Linked DNA regions of Schizosaccharomyces pombe. The gene in region 2 interacts genetically with the main gene of each other region. Each region holds a gene or a part of one and is shown on either strand. Other genes may lie near its edges.

What was found. A genetic interaction does not mean that the proteins touch.
Region 1: mutations in fil1 (region 2) and get2 together harm fitness more than expected from each alone (negative genetic interaction), as found in Schizosaccharomyces pombe (one large-scale study listed by BioGRID).

What each region holds. Positions count from the first base shown.
Region 1 is NC_003421.2:187,498-190,952, forward strand, and holds get2 (GET complex subunit Get2), read left to right. Parts: upstream 1-1,616; 5' UTR 1,617-1,761; coding exon 1,762-2,286; intron 2,287-2,346; coding exon 2,347-2,595; 3' UTR 2,596-2,904; downstream 2,905-3,455. Other genes in the region: vacuolar H+-ATPase assembly protein Vma21, read left to right, coding at 603-652, 826-917, 971-1,095; kinetochore protein fta7, read left to right, coding at 3,233-3,348.
Region 2 is NC_003421.2:809,778-815,230, reverse strand, and holds fil1 (zf-GATA type transcription factor), read right to left. Parts: upstream 3,542-5,453; 5' UTR 2,577-3,541; coding exon 903-2,576; 3' UTR 523-902; downstream 1-522. UniProt on the Schizosaccharomyces pombe protein: Activates genes required for amino acid biosynthesis and acts as a master transcriptional regulator during amino acid starvation. Binds variations of the DNA sequence 5'-GAT[AC]GC-3'.

The sequences.
Region 1 (3,455 bases), 620 kb from region 2:
CTACTTCAACAGTTTGATTTCAAGCTAAAATGGTAAATTTTAATGCATAAAATATACCCATTGAGTAATCTATTTGCTCTTTTTTTTATACCGCTCGTCCGCTGATGAAAACGTCAACATAGCAATGCTTGTATCAAGTGAAGATGGATGGTGTGAAATCACTTGTTATAACAGAGGAGTAATTGAGTATTGCTTTTTTGATCACCACTGTTTGATACACCCTTGCCTGCTAAACAATTCAATGTGAGTTTGTAAATTGCAGTTTTATTTATGATCATCGACCAAGCCCTAACATACATTTGTTACTCGATTTAATTTAATTAATTTAATATTTCAACAAGGAACTATGAATTTGGAGACTTTGTCGCCCAGGTATTTTATTATATGTAAACACAAATTAAGCAGGTCGCACGTATAAGTCTACCGTATGTTATAAACAAAGATAATAAATTTTAATAAGATGACAAATAATTTCAGGGACTTTCAACATACGAATATCAATTGTCTACTTTTCATGTTGACAAAACTTTGACCTCTTATAAAGCAAGGTCCCAATAAATTAGGTCTCCACCACCATCAACAACTTGCATTCGTGATTTAAAATGGAAAGGAAATCCCAAGTTTCAGATACAAATAATAACTCTATACCTACGTAAGTTTATTAATTATTAGTTTATTTCTTTACGCCGGACTGCGAATTGGTTTTAAGAAATTCCATACAACCTTCCACAACAGTCTATAATCTTAGGTCTCTTATATTGTTTATTCCTTTTATATTCTTAACTAAATATGTTGGAAATGAAAACTTACTAACTTTCGTAATAGTAATGTTCTGCTTAAGTTTGTGGGTTTTAGTGTCGCATTATTTACATTACCACTTATAACTTATTTTTGGACGTTGAAGACTTTATTCAAAGGTATATACTAATTGTTGAATAATTTTGATTTTTACTGATAAATTTTGTTTTAGGATATCAAACATTGTACGCAGGATTATCTGCAGCTGTAATGGTCAATATTATCTTGGCCTTGTATATAGTCGCAGCCTTTCGCGAAGACTCCGGGACTCCCAAGAAGGATATAAAAAGGGAATAATAAATTTTCAGTAACCATTTTACTACTATTTTGAGTTATGACTTTTGCATTTCAATTCTAAATCAAATTTTGAAGCGGATTTTCCTTCTGCCAACGTATTTAGGTGAATCATTCGATGTCTTTATTTTTTTTCGTTAAAAGTATCGCAAAATGAAAGACTTTAGCTGGGACTATCCTATAATCTACTGGATTTTGCATGTATGTCTATTGAATAAGGTGCTACCACAAAGCTGTTGCTGGTGATACTACTCCTTTTTGTATCTGAATTAATGAACGGAAATTTTTTTGTTTAATTTTTCGCTAGTCTGTAATGAAAATATGTGTCTGTTCTTTAGTTTTTTGTAGTTTCCCAAAAAACACGAATTAGCAAAATGCAATTGATATGGCAATTTCAACCAATTTTATAATTAAATTTTCCTTTTTATAATATAAGGCTAACATGTATGATTCTTATCAAACATAACAGCTGTAGGAATTCAGTATTCTTCTAACACTTATGCATCACTATTTTCTCTCACCCCAAACCCCTCGTATATTGGAAAGTTGTTCAAGTGAGCATTATTGATTTTTTCCCAATATAATATTGATAAAAATATATATCTGTAAAAAAGTTTGGTGTTAATTATTTATTTTATTCTGTTTTCTGCTGATTCAAAGACTTCGAACATGTCGACTGCCAGTGAACAAGCTCGACTTAGACGTGAACGTCGACTGAATAAAATCAAACAAGGAGGTGCATCTAGAATCAATCAAATTTTGGGACAGAATTCAGATGACAGTCAATCCGATGTTCGAGCTACAGCTTCCGAGGAAGCTGTACATTCTGAAACTGCAACACCAGTAACGCCAATGTCTTCAGGATTCATGGAAAAGAGAGATGATACCTTCAATGCTGATCAAGTGGAATATCTTCCTTCCCAAGATTACCATAATTTGGAAAGTTCGCCTTTTAAACTTCAGTGTGATTCTCCATATAATGTACCACCTGAAAACATGTTTAATCAAAACCCTGATTTTGCAAATTTTTTTCAAGCTATGTTACAATCCGCAAAGGAGGGATCTGATACAAATTTTCAAGGTGAAAACGAACAAATTCCTCAAGCTACAGCTCCTTTAAAAAACTTAGTTGAGAAATATGCTCATCTTTTGGCAATTTCTATAGTAGTGATTGTTTGTTATTTTAAACATTTGGTAAGTCCTCATCTTCCTTTTTTGAAATTGTTTTTTTGCATACTAATATATTTATTTCAGCCATTACTTCCGTGGACATTTACTGTCGAAGCTTGCTTGTTCTCTATTCAATTTGTTTTGGACCGTAATAATGGACCTTCTTATTCTCTTCTAGCATCTCTGGCCTCTCAGCTTCCCCCTCCCTATGGAGCAATGATCCGTCATACAACAAGTTATGTTCCGTATTTCACACAATTGATTACAGATGCGTGTATGACAATATTTGCGTTAGGTTTATGTTGCTATTTTTATCCGTCGTTGGTGTATTAATAGTTGTTAATTTTCAGCATTTACTATTTATGAATCTTGGTTTTGCTTCGCAAATTGGTGATCGATTAATTAGCATTCAATTTTTGTTTAGATGAAATAAACTAACTGATTAAGCGAGAAAGACTTTTCAAACCCTTAGGAATTCAATTTTATATTATCTTTTCAACATCTAAACGATTTATATTCTAAAACATACTGCACTTCATTTGAACTGCTTTGCAACACATGCCATATTTACGATTGTCGGTACGTTTTATTTATTTTCTCTTTTAATTCAATGGTAGCAATAGTATATGATTTAAAAAGCTCTGTTTATTGTAATTGTAGTATTAATTAAAAACAGACTACTTAAAGTAATTTCTGGGATAGCTGTGAAAACATTATAACTATGATTTTTAAAATCTTTTATCAACTTATTATTGAAATAAAATAAGTAATTGAGAATTGGCTTGGTTGACTGTATATATGTAAAACAACTTCGTCCGAAGCGCTACAACAGCATGCAAACGTTGAAACGGCGAATTCTTGTTATAGAGAAATTTTTCATATAAAACCATACGTACATATTTTGCTATTTAAGTTCCAGATTGCTTAAAAGAAAATTGAAGTGGTAGCACCATTTTTATAAATATATGCAATGGAAATGAAAAGGCGCGTTCGCGCGGTGCGTCGAGACCAAATTCAAAAAAGATGGCGTCCATTAGAGGATAAGCAGCGCCAAGAAATAATAATTATTTTTAGGACGTGTTCAAGGTAAGTAATTGAGAATCATGTTATTGCTAAAAGTGCTTGTGCTTTTTAGCGCTTACTTGTGTACTGAAAGGGAAATCAAAGTTTGCTGTTGATGTTTACCTGGAAAA
Region 2 (5,453 bases):
GGTATTAACAATTCATATGTTTTAATATTTATATTATTTTCGTTGTGTAAAGCTAAAAAGCAAGGCTAATGGCAAATATGCCTATATTGTCCTTACACTGTACTGAATCGGTAACAATTGACAAACACGCTTTTATAACATTTTATCAGTGCTTAATTAAATTCAATACATCAATAATTTATTGTTATTTAATTCACCGCTATTTTTGAATAAAGCCAAACTAATTCAAAGAGTATTAATACGTTACTTGTTTCAACAAAGTTTCTTTGCCTCTTACATACAAAAAAATGCTCCACGCCTGCCTACTCGTCTGAGCTTCTCAAAGCTAACCCAGACGGTGAGGTATGGGTAGTACGCTTAAGCGCCATCCATTTTCAGGGCTAGTTCATTCGGCAGTTGAGTTGTTACACACTCCTTAGCGGGTATCTACTTTTAAAACAAACTGCGTATTCGCTAACTAACATTTGCACAACTTAACTTCAAGACTAAAAAAAACTACAAGCTACAGCAACAACATTAAAATGTAAAGAGCACTTAAAAATTGATCAGTCAATTTAATTTCAATCAGTAAGACTAGAAATAAAATATCAAGTGAAATTTTTGTTTATAGTTGCAAAAGCAAGATACAAAAAAAAAGAACAAGAAAAATGAAAAAATAAAAAATTCCAATAAACCCACACATCAACCCTTTATGCCATATCTAATCAAAAGTATATCCCAAATGTGTATTCAAATGTATAGGTTTTAGCTACAAAAGTAATCTTTCAGTACGAAGCGTAGTCTTCAAAACGATTGAAACTTGCAAGCTGTAATAAAAACATAAACAAAAGCTAGAGTAGAAAATAAAAGAGTTTATAAAAACCAAGGTGAAAAAAAAATCAATAGACTCTTAGTAATGTCTTTCAACAAGAGACCGAAAATTTATTCTCTATTTCTTCCTCCTTCTTGACAATAACCGAGTTGTCCAACGAATCAAAAGAGATTTTTGCATGCTCCAACGAAACATCAGCATCGGTATTCGGCATTTTCGAAACAGAAACAGAGTTGGTAAGCTGAGGTGATTCAAGACCCTTTGAAGAGAGTATCTCGGCCATCGTGACGGATTTTGAGAGTACGGGGAATTCTGATTTTACCTCGTCAGACATTCCATCTTCTCCACCAGGGCCCTTACCACGACGACGTCGGGTAATTTTGTTCTTCTTCAAACCAATAGGACGATTGTGGCCATGAAGACGGGCATACAAACCACAAGCGTTACAAACAGTCTGTCCGTGACGATCTTTGCGCCACAACGAAGTTTTCGTAGAAGAGCAATTGGCACACACCAAATTCTCAAGTGCCTTAGATGAGCCTTTGTTTCTAGGAGACAATGGTCTCATAACACCATACTGTTTGTTGTAAAGACCACAAGCATTGCACAAGAAGTTAAGCTTATCTGATGTACGTCTCCATAAAGGCGTTTCAGTGACTCCACAGTTAAAACAGACATGTTCGCGATGTTTCTTTTGTTTCATTACACGTGCTGCCTTACTAGCCTTTTCAGTTTTAACGGCAGCAAGGGGTGTAGAGCCTTTCATTCCCTCTGCTAACGTCGACTTCAGACTGAGAGAAGAAGAGTTAGAGGACAGATTAGGAGTGGAAAATTGGGGCAACTTAAGTGAAGCATCCATGAGTAATGAACGAGCCTTTTCATCTGTTTCAAAGCTTTCAAACGAAAAGAATGGATCAACGGTAGCGATCGAATCGGACAAGCTAGGAACTGAGCCCAAGAACTCAGATTGGGATAGCAAAGCAGAAGACGAACCAGTCAAGGATGAGCTCGATTCGGAGAGCTTCGAGGGAGACGTGGAATCGTTCAGCTCCCTTTTAACAGGCGACTGAGGTGACATGAAGCCCAGATTGCTTAGCTTGCATCCATAGTTGGTGGGATAAGATATGGAAGCAAACGCACGCTGACAATCACCATCAGAGGCAGGGAAAAGAGGGGCTTGACTTTCATCGAAACCAAACTCGGAATCAAGAGCACCAGGGAATGGTGTATCGATTAATGCCGAGCTTGGCGTTGGGATGCAGGGAGTCTGTACATAAGAGAAAGGGGGTGTGGGTTCTGACGTCTTACTGGAAGACAAGGCAGCAATGTCAATATGAGAGTTCGACAGTATGGTAGACTTTAGCAATCCGGAATCACCGAGTTGCGCAGACTCTAAATCAGAACATTGCCTTTGATTGTCGAAATCCATGCTGTCAAGAAGAGACCAACGAGCAGAGGGGTTGGTTTGCAATTTCTGATTATTCTCCGTAGAGTTAAAAGCCAAGGGATAATCAGAAAGCAGTTGCAACATTGAAACCGAATCAAAATCAACATCTCCCTTGCCTGGCGCATTGGCGAAAAGGGCATCCTTATGAAGATCAATGGGAAGATTTGCGATATCGGATAATGCTGTATCAGCGGGGGAAGTGAAAGTAGGGTCAAATTCGGAAAATTGACCGTCAAACGACCCTTCAGTCATAGCCGAAGTAGGGAAAGAGGGCTGACCAAAGGGGAAACAAAATTCAGTAGTATCGTTGTAATTCATGATAACAAAATAATTGGATTTGCTATAAACACACAGACACAAAGATAATTATAAAAAAAAATAGAAAAACAAGGGAGAGAAACGAAATTATAATACCGAATTCAATCACACGCGAGTAATATGTTAGTCACACACAGACAAAAAGTAATAAATGTTTAATGTTGACTTTGTAAAAAAATAAGAAGCATAATGCACTTTGGGGATAGTTAAAAAAAACAATAGACCCGACCAAACGATGTAGAGATTCTAAAGACTCTAAATGTTACAACCAGAGGAAAAGAAAGATATTTGACCGAAATGAGTAAATAATAAAGGATTATTCCAACGAAATTAACTTGCGAGTTACATCATATTGGAGAATTATAAAAAAGAGATAAAAGGAAGACGATTAAAATAAGAGAGAAAATTATTTAATCAACCACAATAGTAGAAAAGATTAACCGAAAAATACTAAAAAGATATTCGATAAACAAAGAGATAGGAGAAAAATTTTGGTAGAGGGATAGAAAACCTAAAGCAAAATTAAGAAGATAAAAAAAATGAGGTGAAAAACAACCTACGATAAATTCTCAATGAGACAACATTTTGAATGATTTAGGAGAAAAAGACTTAACGACGACACGAGGACGAACGAAGCATGCTTTGTAAACGTAATATTGGGGGTGGAAACAAAAGATCCGAAACAACAAAAACAACCAGTATATTCGATTTCAACAAGGAAGTAAAATCAACTTAAAAAAACGAGGACTTTATAGATAATTTAACACATCTTGGGAAAAATTAAATCTGAAAAGTAACTAGAAAACTGAGGTATGTAAAAAAAAATATGTCAACACTAAATGGAGTAGAAGACAAAAAAATAGAGATTTAAAAGCTTAAAATAAATGTAATAGACGATTTACGAGATCAGGATGTTAACGCTGTACTAGTAAAATTGTGTGGTAGTTGTGGTGTTGTTGGTTGTTAGTAAGTTTGGTGTAGTGGTAAAATAAAAAAGGAAAAGAAAAAAACCGGCGGCGCAACGAGCTCTTAAATAGGAAGAACGTGACAAGAAAGCCACTACGTAGTCAACATTCATGCAGCTATTATGGACAGGTACGGCAACTTTTGATTGGTAGAGAGAGGAGGCATAATAGTAGGGACAGCGCCTTATCAGAGGGCTTATCGAACGATCGGGGTGACATCGGCCCCAAAGCTTATCGCATCTAAGTCGCTTTGTAAGTGGTGGGAAAAACATTAGATAGCCAATCAAAGATTGCAAAGACTTGAAAGCAACACCCAGGCCAGCACGCAATGAACCATCGTTCAAGTGCATTAAAGTATATAGCGAAAGAGAATGGAATGCAGTAAAATCAACCGGCTGTGGAAGTGAGTAGCGCCGATATCGCTATATAGGAAGTGTGGGGGTGTATATATAAAATGGGGGCGAAAGGGTTACTATAGAGACAAATAGACACGAGGTAACTAAGTAAGTAGGTAGGAGAAAAGCGAATTAACAATTTGAACTTGATAATAAAATAGTTGTGTATTTCTCAGTCAATTTAGAATCAATTGAGGAGAAAACTACATGATCATAGAAGGGAAAGAAGGAACACAGCGAAAGAAAGAAGCGTTAAACAATAGGAATGGTTCTTTTTGAACCGATTGTTTATAGAAATAATAAAATGAATGTTATGATGTGAATGTATGAGTGGAATGTGGATGTGAATATGAATATGAATATGAATATAAAAGAAGATGTAATTAAAAAGTAGGATTTGGAATTTTTCACAACAAAAACTCGATTAACTGTAAATGTCGAGTCCTATTGTTGGTTAAAAAGAAAATTACTTAAAAGTCCTTTTGTAATAAATTCTACTCTTAAAAATTAAAACTGTTTATGCCTTATTATTACACATGTGTCCGACATGCCTTGCCTGTCCAAAATGCCTTGTCTACTATACTTTTCTATACTCAGTCTAACGCATTTACTTTCTCTGCCTGCAACCTTTCTGACCCGCTATAACGATAGTGACTGTATTCGTTTAAGCTTAGTTTCCGTGTTCCATCATCAATTGTTAAGCTTATTTCCGCAAATACACTCGCTCTCGCTATTTAAAGAATTTTCGGATTTTTTCGGTCTGCGCAGTAGCGACTATGAAGGCAGCAGAAGTACATTCCTACCGGAGAATGAGTTCCGTTGGTATTACACACGGAAGGCAAGTGACAAGGCTAGTGAAGGATGATCGATTGATCCTATTTCTCGGGTTGTAAAGGCCCCAAAAATAGAGTGTTACAAGAAAGTAATGGGCCTTGCTTTGTGCGTATTTTTGTTATTCAACATGAGTTTGCTATAGCATGAATTTTCTCTGAAATGCGCATACTAAATTGCAAAACTTGTTTGATAAAAGTGCAATACACTTATCATAACGATGTTGATGAGTAAATGAATGTTGCGCATCACTTGACAGTAGCAAAGTGCAATTATTGGTTTGCGCAACGTTGTTTTGTTCATTTCGCCAACTTTGCTTATTCACACCGGTTCTATGTTCAGGCATTTTGTTGGTCGTTGGTTACTAGAGGAAAAACTGTTGTTGTTGATACAAACAGAACCCAATTGTCCTTCAACCCAATCGTTTCTCAATGTTTACATGGTCAAGGTTTGTAGTGGAATAAATGGAATGGGCTGGGATGAAAGGAAATTAGCACGTGGAAGTGTAAACACATGATTTTTCAGCAATCCCGCTAATGTGATAGGCTTGGGTGAGAAGATGAAAGAGAAATAAAAGAAATAATCGTTCATCAATTCGTTCAACAGTTATAAAACAACCCGACCAGATAAAGTATTTGAAAGATTGGAGTCATTCAAGAAAGCGTAAGGATTCGAGATTGGAATCG